Linked DNA regions of Caenorhabditis elegans. The protein of the gene in region 2 purifies or fractionates together with the protein of the main gene of each other region. This does not show direct contact. Each region holds a gene or a part of one and is shown on either strand. Other genes may lie near its edges. The genes, in order: scpl-4 and timm-17B.1.

The links.
Region 1: the proteins of timm-17B.1 (region 2) and scpl-4 fractionate together in Caenorhabditis elegans (co-fractionation; one large-scale study listed by BioGRID). This does not show direct contact.

The regions. Positions count from the first base shown.
Region 1 is NC_003283.11:10,595,488-10,602,516, reverse strand, and holds scpl-4 (Mitochondrial import inner membrane translocase subunit TIM50), read right to left. Parts: upstream 3,413-7,029; 5' UTR 3,406-3,412; coding exon 3,330-3,405; intron 3,289-3,329; coding exon 3,200-3,288; intron 3,152-3,199; coding exon 3,044-3,151; intron 3,001-3,043; coding exon 2,830-3,000; intron 2,788-2,829; coding exon 2,560-2,787; intron 2,143-2,559; coding exon 1,816-2,142; intron 1,771-1,815; coding exon 1,614-1,770; intron 946-1,613; coding exon 743-945; 3' UTR 370-742; downstream 1-369. Other genes in the region: T21C9.13 (DUF4149 domain-containing protein), read right to left, coding at 4,088-4,311, 4,357-4,548, 4,595-4,775, 4,827-4,970. UniProt on the Caenorhabditis elegans protein: Essential component of the TIM23 complex, a complex that mediates the translocation of transit peptide-containing proteins across the mitochondrial inner membrane.
Region 2 is NC_003282.8:4,742,465-4,749,493, reverse strand, and holds timm-17B.1 (putative mitochondrial import inner membrane translocase subunit tim-17B.1), read left to right. Parts: upstream 1-4,001; 5' UTR 4,002-4,020; coding exon 4,021-4,046; intron 4,047-4,094; coding exon 4,095-4,206; intron 4,207-4,255; coding exon 4,256-4,441; intron 4,442-4,497; coding exon 4,498-4,608; intron 4,609-4,665; coding exon 4,666-4,776; 3' UTR 4,777-5,117; downstream 5,118-7,029. Other genes in the region: rpl-18A (Large ribosomal subunit protein eL20), read left to right, coding at 1-315; cyc-2.1 (Cytochrome c 2.1), read left to right, coding at 1,053-1,232, 1,284-1,439; tctn-1 (Tectonic domain-containing protein), read left to right, coding at 1,662-1,842, 1,896-1,999, 2,382-2,910, 2,965-3,212, 3,263-3,394, 3,441-3,659; elac-2 (Zinc phosphodiesterase ELAC protein 2 homolog), read left to right, coding at 5,244-5,287, 6,056-6,187, 6,440-7,029. UniProt on the Caenorhabditis elegans protein: Essential component of the TIM23 complex, a complex that mediates the translocation of transit peptide-containing proteins across the mitochondrial inner membrane.

The DNA.
Region 1 (7,029 bases), on a different chromosome or scaffold from region 2:
ACCAACTGTATTATCTGCGTCTCTCCTCCTCCTATGTTCTCTCTTCTGAAGACCCGTTGCTAAAACGAATGAATTGCTCAATATGGAAAATATATATTTTATGACGTGGAAATAGTCAAACAATTGTAATCGACCAAATGTTTGATTTGACTTTAGAGAGTAACAAAAGAAGAGACGCAGTGAATGAAAGCTTTCAAAATTTGGAACGATCATATACTGCGTCTCTTGTCTTGTGGATGCTTCTGATGCCCTTTTGATGGCAACATCGACCCAGATAATCGAAATGAAATGAAAAGAGAAAAATAAAAAGTGAATGTGATAAAGCTTTCTCGCGATTTTTCAACGCGCGTTTATCAAATGAGAAGAACACAATTTTTCTGAATGTTTTATCGGATTTTATGGTGAGAATTTCAAAAACAAAAGGAAAAATGAAACGAACACTTCTGAAAAAAATTGATACGTTTTTTTGGAAAGGGTGGAATAAGAAACAACAAAAATCAACAAAGAAGTGTGTAGACGGAGAATTCAACTGTCATATACCGGCTCTGAACAACTCTAGTGTGGGAAGAACTAAATTTAAAAAAACACAAGAATGGAAAGAACTAAAAAAGAAAACAATATAAACCTACAATCCTATATTATTAGAAAAATTGAGCTATAAAAAGGCACATTGAGAGTGAAAAGGGCGCAGGGAAAAGAGAGTCAGAGTATCATATCATCAGATGAAAAATGTTTGGAAAGTTTAGGCATTAACGTGTCTTCTAGATCCGAACAATCTTCCAGAATATCTTTTCAACATGGAACTATCATCGGGTTGTTGTTTCTTTTGTTCTTCTTGTTGTGACAAGTATACAGCTCGTCGACGGAATTCTTTCGCTGGATCATCGTATTGCGAGTAGTACTGTAGCATGGGACGAACATCTTCAGCGTCAGATAGGTGAATAGCTGAATTAATAAAATACAAAATGTTCCAATAACGGGATCGATAATGATCATGTTTTTTGCCAAAATTATAAGATTTTATGTTATAATTTTAAAAATGATGTAATTAAATATCGAAGTCAGATCTGTTGGTTTTTCGTTTAATGCGTTTTTTTTTGGTTTTTTCGGGAAAAAGGAAAAATTTGCGAAAATTTTGTTAATCTATCGCAAACTGAAAATCGTATGATAATGTTCAAATTTAACACCTTTTTTTTCAAAAGAAAAATTACACTGGAAATTAGAACTATTGAAAATTTCAATAAAATATCTGAGTTTTTCAAATTAACGTTCAAAACGTATTTTACGGGAACACAGAATTCTGAGAATGCGTATTGCGCAACATATTTGACGCCCAAAATATCTCGTAGCGAAAACTTCTTTAGATGACTACTGTAGCGCTAGTGTCGATTTACGGCATTTCGAAAATCGAGCCCGTAAATCGACACAAGCGCTACAGTAGTCATTCAAAGGATTACTGTAGTTTTCGCTACGAGATAATATGTGCGTGAAATATGTTGCGCAATACGCATTCTCAGAATATTGTAATAAAACAAATTTTTTTTTGCTTTTTTCGTGCTTTTGGCAAAAAAAATTAAAATTGAAGCAAATCATTCATATTCAAAACAACTTACTTTTAAGAAGCTCTGCCAAATCAACTAGACTTGTATCATCCATATTTCCTTTCCACTCTGGTACTCTTAACATGTTTTCTGGATTTAATTGTCCTGATTTAGCGTCAAAATCGATATAAATAACTTTCGACAAATCGCGATTCAATTTCGACAAATCCTGGAAAAAAAGTTTAACTAATTAAGAGAAATCGTAATTTTTTACTTTGACATGGTGTCCATTCATATACTTTGTGCAATCTCTGAACAACTTGTACATAATTCTTTGTTTTGGATCAAAACTATCAACAACTGGAGCAGCTGTCATCATTGATTCAGATGAATAGATAACGACTTCAAAATTTGGATATCCAATGACATCGAGGAAATAGTCAAGTGCTGGACGCTTTAGGAAACGATATCCAGTTTTGTATGTCCATTCAGGATGCACAAGAATATTTTTCAATTCGATCACAATTGTATATTTTGGTTGGAGATATGGTGCTGGCAATGGATCAGGCAACAATTGCTCACGTGCTGGCTCGACGACATACTGAAAATAAAAATATTAAAATACAGTACTGCCGGAAAAAGTCGCGATTCCGACTTTTTTTTTTGAGCAGAAATTACAAATCATTCTGATAATGGTACTAATTTTTAATCATTCTTTTTATATTAAGCTATTTTTTGTAAAATTATTCATTTCAAAAATTGGTCAAGAAAAAGTGCAATGGATGAGATTAACTAAATCTATTTTGAAACTTATCAAATTTTGCATGTGTTACTGATTATGGATTTATAAAATTGTTGGTCTATTTGATGTTTTAAGAAATATTATTATTGGTATATGAATAAATTAGATACTTTCAGAAAATATCAGCAATAGCTGTAGAAAAAAGGTATTCTGGCATTTTGTGTTCAACAATGTTATACATTTCTTTTTTGAATCTTTAAAAGATTGAATTCTCACATCTCTCCATAATTTAAAACTGTTGGCAATGCGGTAGAACGGTGCCAAGAAAGAACCACTGAATTCATCAGATATCACATTTCCGAATTCATCTCGTTGTGCACGTCCATAGTAGAAACAGAACGAAATAAATCCGATAATAGATCCACCAAACAGAACATATGCTCCAATGCGAGTATTTCTTTCCATTCGTTTCCGGCGAGCTTCGATTTCTTCAGCGTTACCAGGCTTAAAAACCACACTTAAAACAGTTATGAATATAAGACTTACGTCACTGTTATCACTAGAACCTCCAGAAGAAGAGGAAGACTTTGATGCAGCAGATTCCAATTTTTCAAGAGAATCTTTCAGTGAGTTCAACTCGTCAATGGCTGAAGACGTGGGGGCAGGAGCAGGAGGCGGGGAGCTCAGCACCTTTTCAGCTTCTATTTTTGGACTTTCCTACAAATTTCAAAATTTATCAAATAAAACAAATTATGCGTACAACTTCGAGTTTCTCTACTTTTGGGGCTTCTTCGACTTCTGATTTGAATGCGATTGCTTCTTGGGTCTCATTTATCGGCAATTTGATACTAGCAAAAACATTTCCGTGCTGAAAACTGTATAATTATAAATTATCTATACTGATTCAAGTCAATACGTTTATTGGCACAATTGGAGCAAAACGAGTGCGTCCATTGTCTGCATAAGGGTTTGCAACAGCCGGTGGGCCCAGAAGAGATTTAAAATCTGAAATTTTTGTATAATGAGAAATATTGGTGGAATCTTACCTGAACTATAAAGTCTTATAAATGTTTTCGCTTGGTGTCGGCTGAAGCAGGTCTGAGTCAACTTGCTCAGCGACATTTTTACCCTGAAATTTTTTGGGATTGGTAGAATCTAGAAATGCGTACTATGATGCAATAATTAGGTTAAAAAAAAGTATGAGAAAACGTAGAAATTTTGATACAAGACCTAATTATTATCTTTGCAAGAAATTTAAAATGAATTGAACATTGTAATAGAATTAAGAAAATAAAACAGGAAAAATCACGTCTTGAACGAACCCTTACGATTTACGATAAACAACACGCGAATCGTAAACCGGAGTGTCGTTGCAAACTTTCATGAAAAATTTTGTTATAATTTTTATAATTTTAACAAAAATGTCTGTATCTTGTTATAAATTTATACTTATAAGAATACGCTTGTTTATTTAATACTTTTTTTCACGAAAATAGTATGCACTAAAGATGTGTTCAAAGAAGTTCCCTATTATTAGCGCTATATCGCTATAAATGTCGAGATGTCAAAGAGCGTGACTGAATTTATTAAATTATATAGATAATCCTGTTAATAAATCAAGCAAGTACAAGTTATTCTTGAAATAAATGAATAGTCGATTTTAAATCGAAATCACAATAGGCTTTGGATATGAATTCAACGTTAGGAGAATATATTATAGGACCGAGCTTATCAACAATCATTGGAGCAATAGAATAAGTTATGAATAGGGATAATATGCTATTAAGGATGAATTAATAATCTCTTATACTATATCTACGGTTTCACATGAAGCATTCTTGTTTGGTGCCATCCGAGTTGAATGAATAGTCGAATAGTGATTCGGCATTGTTGCATCGTATACGCGGAAGCCAGGAACAAGGACGGGACGTGACTCAACCAACTTCAAATGGATTGCGTAGAAATAGACAATATCGTGTAAAACTGCGCAGAATAGTAGAAGGCCGAGCATATTCAACGAGATGTCCACTGAAAAATGTTTTCTCAAATAAAATTCTGGTTCGCTCAACTCACTGATGTTTATCCGTGCATCAACTAGCTGCTTCACTTTGAGCATAAAAAGTACGAGAGTTCCGTTTGTGGCCATGACTGCAAGGAAAATGTAGAGTGGCATGAAGAGACGGCGGTAGAGAAATACTCCGGAAAACAGTATAGCGAGAAGTATCAGCCATTGCACAATCACGACACGAGTCAGAAAAGCTTCATCTGGAAACAAAAATGTATTTTTAAAAAATTTTCAGAAAAAACTCACCAAAAATATTGTTTTTCTTCCTTGGGGTATAGTTTCCATACTGAAAAACGAAAGATCCTGCATAGTATCCAATAGTCAGAATTGCAGCAAATGCATAAAGAAGAACTACTCGTGGCGAGTGTTCAATCCATTCCATCTCTAAACCATCAATGACATCTCGCTTCATAAATACTGTTAGCGGCTGAAAATTTTAATTAGTTTTAATTATTTTTTAAAGCATTTTTCAACTTACCTTTTCAGAACTAACAACAGATTTGCACGGGGGAATATAAAAATAGCTGTGCTCCGCATTCGGTACTGAGTATTTCTTAGAAGCAGGAGTAGCGAATATTGTGTGATTAGTAGGGATTGAAGAAATAAAAGAGGATGACGACATTCCTACTGAAGTGATCGAAGATCAACTGAGGAAATATCGACTGATGAGCATTCAAAACTATCGGGTTCATCATTATGTTCGAATTCGCGGGGTTAAAAAAAGAAGAGCAACAAATGATCTACACACACGCACAAGTCTAAAAACAGGAAAAAATCGAAATTATGATCTAAAAGTTTGAAATATTTATTATTTATACTCTTTCAATATCTAAATATTATTTACACAGAGAACAGAAAATAAAAAAGTTCTTGAAACAATTTCTAAAGCTTCTACAGTAAGAATGAAGGCGCATAGCATTCTTCGTTTAAAAATATATTTCGCGCGGCGAGGCCCACTTGCATAATTGGACCTCCCTTTAAAAAAGTTTGAAATTCACATTAAAAAAGGCCTTTAAAGGCAACGTTAACGCGATATTTACAATGATCATTGTAAAAAGTAGAATAAAAATCGTTACGGTCGTCGTTAGATATTTGACGTGTTTTCCAAAGTTCATAGTTAATTTATTCTATTTAGATCCCTTGGACTTGTATCAACTTAATTTATTCTATCTCAAATTGTGAAAAAATGTTGATTTTATAAATGTCAAAAACATTTGAAGATTTTTACAACTAAAAACATCGCATACAATTTTTGTAATCCCAAGGGTCTCTATCTCCTAGCAACGAATTTCTGACTCCATCTTCCTGACTTCTTTTTGTTTTCAATTCAATTGGCATACAAATAAATCCTATGATTATACATAACCTACACTCTTTCGCCTGAAATCCATTTCTGGTCGAAAGTGGTCATTTTTCTTTCTAAATTGGTATGAGAATGATTTTCTGTCCAATAAAATTTCCACATTCATTCATTCCTGTTCCGTGTCCTATTCTATCTTCCTATTGCTCCCCTCATATAATTTTTTCAATGGCATGTAGTCACGATAAGCATAGTTTTACCAAGTTTATAAACAAACTAAAATGTACACCTTCACATGAAATTTGAACATTTTCATTCAAGTGGCATGATTAGAAAAAATATGTACCAAATTTTTTTAATGACGAAACTTATGATACTGCTCAAATTAAGATTTAGAAGATAAACTAAATTGTTAATCAAATTGTTTCAGTTTAAACTGTTCTACCAACCATTATAAATTAGACTGAACTCATTTGCACAAAACACTTTTCCAGATTTCTAATTATAGTTTTCCACATTTCACTCTGCTGACGTGGCATTTCCATTTCAAATTCACACTCAGAAAACTTGAGCAATTTTCAGGAAATTGGCGGAGTGCCGTCTGATTTATAGCCTTTTTTTTTGTTCGTTGCTTTCATTTTCATCCTTTTCTCTCATTGCTTTCTTTGCCAGATATTCTCGTATCCAATTGAAGGAATAACGAGGAAGCTGTGAAGTCAAGAGAAGTAGTGTATATGTGTCTTCTTGTGACGTGGCTTCTAGTGAAAGCATAGATTCAGAGAAATATAGAGTTCATTGCTCATAAATTTTTATAGTTGGAAGGCCTGTTAGAGAGTGCGCCATGCCCATCGTCCAGTCGTTTTTCCATATTTGTTTTACTAACTTGGTAATTTAGATTTGATTTTCTAACATCAACAAATTTATTCAGAATGAGAAAATATTCATCCAACATTGTTTTTGAAGTGCTTCGAATATCGCTTAGTATTGATTCCAAAAAGCTTTCTGAAAGAGTTCTCCAGAACTTTAAAGTATCATCTTGAGTGAACCTAATTTGTTATTTTTGCTGCTTACTGTGAAGTTTTATGTCTAGATTCCGTTTTTCGTACTTCAGCACATTTGTTTCCAATATAATAAGTTATAATTACACAATTTTTATTGTGGAGTTCAGATACCTTCTTAGTTTAGAGGTAGAGTACCACCAATAGGGATAATTTTTGTTTTAAAATTATTTGATTATTTAACTACCAAAACTCCGTTTTCAACAATCATGATTTCGAGAATTCACTAAAAATTGTTTTTTCTACGATTTGGACATTCAAATCACGTTTGAGGCTCATATAGTTCACTTTTTTTGTTGAAAATTTGCCAGACAAATTTTAAA
Region 2 (7,029 bases):
ACCGTCAAGAACTACGGAGTCTGGCTCAAGTACGATTCCCGTACCGGACACCACAACATGTACCGTGAGTACCGTGACACCACCGTTGCCGGAGCCGTCACCCAGTGCTACCGTGACATGGGAGCTCGTCATCGTGCCCAAGCTGACCGCATCCACATCCTCAAGGTCCAAACCGTCAAGGCCGAAGACACCAAGCGTGCCGGAATCAAGATGTTCCACGACGCCAAGATCAGATTCCCACTCCCACATCGCGTCACCAAGAGAAAGAACCTCAGCGTCTTCACAACCGCTCGCCAAAACACCCACTTCGCCTAAGTTGCGGATTATTGTTATTTGTTACAATAAATTGTTGCAAACAAATTTTTTTCTTAATTTTTCATTTTAAATTTGTGTGGTTTGAATCCTGTTTGTTCAGCTTGTTATTTGTTTACTGTTTTTATCTCGTGCGCAGCACTTGTTGATGTTATTAGATGATCATTGCAATGATCCATAAGGCATCGGACCGCCCAGCTGACTTGTGTGACTGGTAAATTTTGTCAATATTTTCAAATTTGTTCTTTTGCAATATAGATATCTGCTCTTCTATATTCAGTTCTTACGCTACTAGATCTGTAACTACATTCCTTAAAGTTCAATATCACTATTTCGATAAGGTAAATTAATTCTTAATAATTGAGATAAGTTGATAAAAATCTGGATAACTGTAGATTTTGTAAGTTGTAAGCGTTAGAAATGCGGTAAATCTCGTAGAAACTTTATTTTTTGTATTTTAAGGGCAAAACCTTTCAGATCATAGATAAAAAGTTCAACAGCGTCATTTTAGTATGTCCTCGCTGAATGATATTTCACCCAGACTCCCGAGAGCGACCGCCCGATTGTTCTATGGCCTTTCTGTGTCTCTGCGTCTCCTCGCCGCCCGAGAGATGGCACAACCCCCGTTTCTTTCTCGCTATTGCATCACGGGCGGTTCCCCAAGTGCTGCTGTGGCGGTTTCTTCCTGCTAGACTCTTTTAGTATATATTTCACTAATTTCTGTATTTTAAGGGTTCAACATGTCCGATATCCCAGCTGGAGATTACGAAAAGGGAAAGAAGGTGTACAAGCAGAGATGCTTGCAGTGCCACGTCGTTGACTCGACCGCCACAAAGACCGGACCAACCCTCCACGGAGTTATCGGACGTACATCAGGAACTGTGTCTGGATTCGACTATTCCGCTGCTAACAAGAACAAGGTACAACTAATAAATTATTTCTTAACGTTTATTATAAATTAAAAATTATAGGGAGTCGTCTGGACCCGCGAGACCCTCTTCGAGTACCTCCTCAACCCAAAGAAGTACATCCCAGGAACCAAGATGGTGTTCGCTGGACTCAAGAAGGCTGACGAGCGTGCAGATCTCATCAAGTACATCGAGGTTGAATCCGCCAAGTCCCTCTAAATATTCCCCTAAATGTTCTCGCCTAGCTACGGCAATTTTTCATAGTTAGGCACTTTCGATTGTTTTACTTTTATATATTGCACTAATTTTGTGTCATTCTCATTTTTAGTAGCAAGAATATACGTCAATTTGGAAAATAAATAATTTTCCTAAATTCGTTTTCCTTTTCCCCACAGTCGCATCACAGCAGGTGTACACTCTTCCGCTACCATAGCAACCAAAATGGGCACCAATGCACCAAGAAATCGGAACGAGCTTTTTGTCATGCATCTTCTTGGATTTATTTTTCTTTTAACTTATTGTTCGGCTGATACTCCAGAGGTTTGTTATCCGTCAGTTGTTCGGCACCGGATTGATTCGATATTTCCAACTTCTCGTTTGTTCTGCGTCTCCAAGCAAAATGGTGGGCTTTTTTTAGCTGAACGCGAACAAATTACGGAGCTTTTTTGAATTTAGATGATTTGGAATATGGTGACGTGGAAATTGTGAATGGCGAAGAGCAATGGAACGAATTTTCAAAATCTAGATGGCAGCAAGATGAATCTGATTCACAAGAAAATGTAACACAATTAAAGATCTACGCAGACGGAAAATTTTGCGCCAGAAATACTGTACCTGGTCTCGACACGCTTTTGTTTGTAAAACGCGAAAAGATAAATATGCGCCTTTAAAGGAGTTCTGTAATTTCAAATATTCGTTTCTGCGGAATTTTCATTGATTTTTAATAATTTACCCATACATATTACAAATCATGAGAAAATGTGAAAAATCTATCAAAAATTTCGCAGAGATGAAAGTTTGAAATTACAGTACTCTTTTAAAGGCGCACATCTCCTCGCATCAAAAAATTATGTCGTGTTGAGACCGGGTAAATACAGTAGTTTTCGAGATAAATCTCAAGACTTCGGTTAATAATGAATTGAGATTTCTTTTTTTTTTCAGTTAGAACTCTTACATTTCGGAAGTTCAAGAGCCGTTCGCCTATTCAAATTTCCCGCTGCAATTTCAGCATCCGATTTCTGTACTGGAACTCAAAATGTGATAACGAAAAGGAATATGACAGTAAAGTGCAAGCCTCTCGCCACCACTGATATTTTGTCTCATTGTTCCGAAAATGAGTTTCTCAATGCTCAGGCTCTGTTTGGAAACGGCGATTTTGTAGAACGAACCGAAAATGAGACGATTGCGATTCCAAGGCTCAGCACCGCCCAATTTATAGCTCCAGTTTGGAATAATTCAATGTGTTATGGAGTTTTGAAATCTGCAAATATTATATTCCGAATGAATGGGATAAAAACGAATTCCGTTGAGATTGATGCCCAATATGATAGTCTTCCTGGAAATGTAGATAATAATTGGTTCGAGCAGACATTTTCAGTTTATTGGATTCCGCTTGTGGTTGCCAGTGAGATAGAGACAAATCAGACTGTTGTAGGATATAAAGCTGGGGAGCAAACTTATAGGGTTAAAGGTTATTTCAAATTGTAGATCTTATATTTGTTCTACATTTTCAAAAATATTTCAGGTTCTATTCCCGTTCCATTCGCTGTTCCAACACTAGGCAACTGCTATTCTGGATCTATTGCACCATCTCCTGTGTTCTTCCTTCGATCGATGTCTTCTGTGTGCACGATTTCCACAATAAATTGCGAAGATGCTCGTGCAAAAGCGAGAGCATTCTACGAACAAGTTTATCCATCCGTACTTGTTTCATCGCCTTCAGAAGATGCACATCCAGCTTCCGTTGGGAGAGTTAATGTTACTTGGGAAGAAGTATTTATTATTTAATTAGCTATTTAATTTATATATTTTTTTAATTTCAGCTATCACCTTCCACAATATCCTGCCGTTTACCTGTGTCCTCGTTACTTCAAATCTACTATTCCAAGCAAGGATCTACAAAAAACTATCGAGAGGTTATAATTGCAGGAAACTCACAGCTACTTTTAGATGATGTATGACCTTCTTATTTAATGTATACAAAATTAGTTTTTTATTCAGGTTCCGTATCTTTCTGGCCAAGAAATTCGTATGCCAATCTCAATTTCATTCACAGAAGTCACACCACCTCCGAAGAACATATTTTCAGCTTTACCTTACGTTGATATTCGACTACCTCACGACTTCTTCTATCCATTTATGAGCACTTCAAACTACTCTGCTAGCTTAAACTATTCACAATGTATTTTTATCATTTTTATAATCTATATTCTTAAATAAAAACTGTTTTTAAAGTATTTATCCTTGTTAATTTTTATTAAATCTAGTCACAAACTAAAGAAAATATTTATTTTATTTAACTTTAATGTTTAAGATTTAAACTTTTAAGATAAAAGTTAATGATTCAAAGAAATAAATAAAAATAAAAACGATAGAAAAAACGAAAGTCAAGAAGGACGCAAGCAATTCTTTGCTGACGCATGTCTCGTGAAATTTGCGTGATGGCGCACTTCTCGTGCACTTTTCTCGAGCTTTCAGATTCATTTTTCAACTCAATTCTTTACAAAAAACTGCACTTTTACCGCTTTAAAATCAATAAATTTAATCAATTTCTGTTTTCAGGGAATAAATACACACAAAAATGGAAGAGTACACCAGAGAGCCATGGTAAGATTTCCTAAAATTGGTTTTTTTACTGAAAATAATTTTTTCCAGCCCATATCGTATCGGAGATGATATTGGATCGGCGTTTGCGATGGGTCTCGTTGGAGGATCCATTTTCCAAGCTTTTGGAGGATATAAAAATGCGGCGAAAGGAAAGAAATTGGTGATTAATTTTTTAAAGACAAAAATACTTAATTAATTGATTAATTTAGGTTGGGATGATGCGAGAAGTACGAATGAGAAGCACATTAACAGGAGTTCAGTTTGCCGCTTGGGGAGGAATGTTCAGTACAATCGATTGTTGTCTTGTCGCCATCCGCAAGAAGGAAGACCCCATCAACTCTATTGTTTCTGGAGGATTGACTGGAGCTCTTTTGGCGATCCGTTCAGGACCAAAGGTAGCAGAATAGCTTTAATTTAGTGAATTAATAATAATTTAATAATTTTTGTTTAGGTGATGGCAGGAAGTGCGATTCTTGGCTCTGTAATTCTGGCTATGATCGAAGGAGTCGGATTGGTGACCACCCGCTGGATGGGAGCAATGATGGATCCAACACAGCCGCCGGTATGTTTTGTTTTCTGGCTCAAAACTTATTTATTTATTTATTCACTATTTTTGCAGCCAGAAGCTCTCGACGATCCACGCAGTCTGGGACAAAAGAGTCAAGCAGAACCAGGACTCGACCAAACGAGACCCTTCGGAATTCCAACTGGATTACCAAATCTGTCCTAAATCTTTTTTCACTCATATCCGTTTTTCTTTATGCTTTTGTCTCTTATCTCAATTTTCCCCCCTCCAACTTCGGTGATCGGCCGATTCCTCTACATTTTTTAGGAGCTCCAATTTTATTAGTTACATATTACATTAGTGTTGTTTGTTTTGTTGATGATGTTCATTGCGATCACGAATCTTATTTAGATTCGCGCTTTCCTTCCAAAAATCAAGTTTCAGATCCGTATGGGTGCACGGCATCTCCATCTCTCCCCTGTTTTTTCGAATTTCTTTCCCCTTTAATTTCTTTTTAATAATCTTCACTGTTCCCTATTTCTTTTTCCGATGAAGACGTTGTTTATAATATCATGATGATTCAATCGTGTTTAAAGTAAAATTAAATCTTGAAATTATACATTAACTTCCAGCTCTTTAGCACAATAGAGTGCATGAAATTCAAATAAATTTCAGCTGAAAGCTCGAAGCTGATGCTCGGAGCGATTGCGAGGAAAACTGTAGAGAATCGGATTCTGTAAGGGTTTGTGAGTGGTCCCCCCAATTGAAATAGACGAGAAAATTTGCGATTTTAGGCAAAAATTCTGAAATTTCATTATTTTTTACCCGAAAACCTTGAAATTCGAGATTTCTCGTTTAAAAAACGCGAAATTTTTATACAGAAACTCCAGGTTTTGAGAAAAAACGGGAATTTTTCTACATTTTGCCTGAAAATATCGATATTTGATTTTTAAACAATGAATTTCACGGTGTTTTTTGCTAGAAATGCATTTTAAAAATTTGAAAACATGAAAATGTTGTTTTTTGGCATAAAGTGTATAAAAATATCGGAAATTTTGCGGAAAATTGCATGAAATGTTTTTATGCTAAAAATACGGTATATGGTCTCGACGCGAGAAAGTTTTGCAAACTGCAAAGAGGCGTGCGCCTTTAAAGAGTACTGTAATTTTAAACTTTTGTTTTTGCGGATATTTCATAGTTTTTCATCCCGTTTTCTTGAAATTGTATGTGTTTAAAAAATTATATATGTATCCCACAGTCTCGTCATCGAAAGCGCACAAAAAACAGCCTACTGGCGCGGATATATCCACGGCGAGACTTTGAAGCTACAGTACTCTTTAAAGGCGCACGCTTTTTCAAGTTTTGCAGCAAAAACTGTCGTGTCGAGACCTAGTTTGTTGGAGATTTGCAAAATTCCACACCTGGATAACAACAATTTTAATTTCTGCATGTTTTTCCGCTAGTACTTTCACATTTCGCAATTTTTCACAATCTCACTTTTCAGAGTTTCTCGTCACTTGATTTCTTCAACCAGCTGCTTATTTAAGGATAATAACGAAGAATTATTAGAAAGTATCAAGGAGAGAATTGCCAGAAATCGCCGAATTCTTCAGAAGCATTCGTCTTCACATTTGAAGTGAGTTTTATTGGGATTTTTTGTCTGAAAAGTACAGTACGGGGTCTCGGCACGACAATTTTGTTGAATGGCAAAATGCGTTAAAGAGACATTTTTCAAGATTTCACATATATGTTCGACCTCAAAACTTGAAATTTGACATGCTTCCGTCAATTTTTTCAAAATTTCAGTTGAAAAATACATAAACTGTATGAAAAAATTCGAATTTTTGATTTTTTTGACGCTATTTAATAAACTTTACCAATATTTCAGAGCTCGAGAAGTAAACGCAAGCATCTCAAATCTGCGACAATCAATGGCGGCAGTGCAGAAGAAACAAAAAGCGGCTCACGAACCACCGGCCAACTCAATTGTCAACATTCCCAGTCAAGTATCGATCGAAGTTCTCGGTAATGGAACAGGACTTCTCCGAGCATGCTTCATCCTTCGAACACCACTGAAAACCTACATGTTCAACTGCCCTGAGAATGCATGCAGATTCCTGTGGCAGCTTAGGATCCGAAGTTCAAGCGTCGTTGATCTTTTCATCACATCTGCAAATTGGGATAATATTGCTGGAATTTCATCAATTCTACTTTCTAAGGAATCAAATGCATTGTCTACTCGACTTCATGGTGCAATGAATATCAAACACTTTTTGGAATGTATTCGACCATTTCAAGATTCGGATTACGGTAGCTGCAAGTATCCATCTCAAGTTGAAGAACGTCCATATACAATGGAGAATTATGAGGATGCCGGATTAAAGGTCACATATATTCCTCTGAGTCCACCGTTGAATATCGGAAGTAACAACGAAAAAAGTAAAAATGTGAAAGTCAACAATGTAGACATTGCATTTT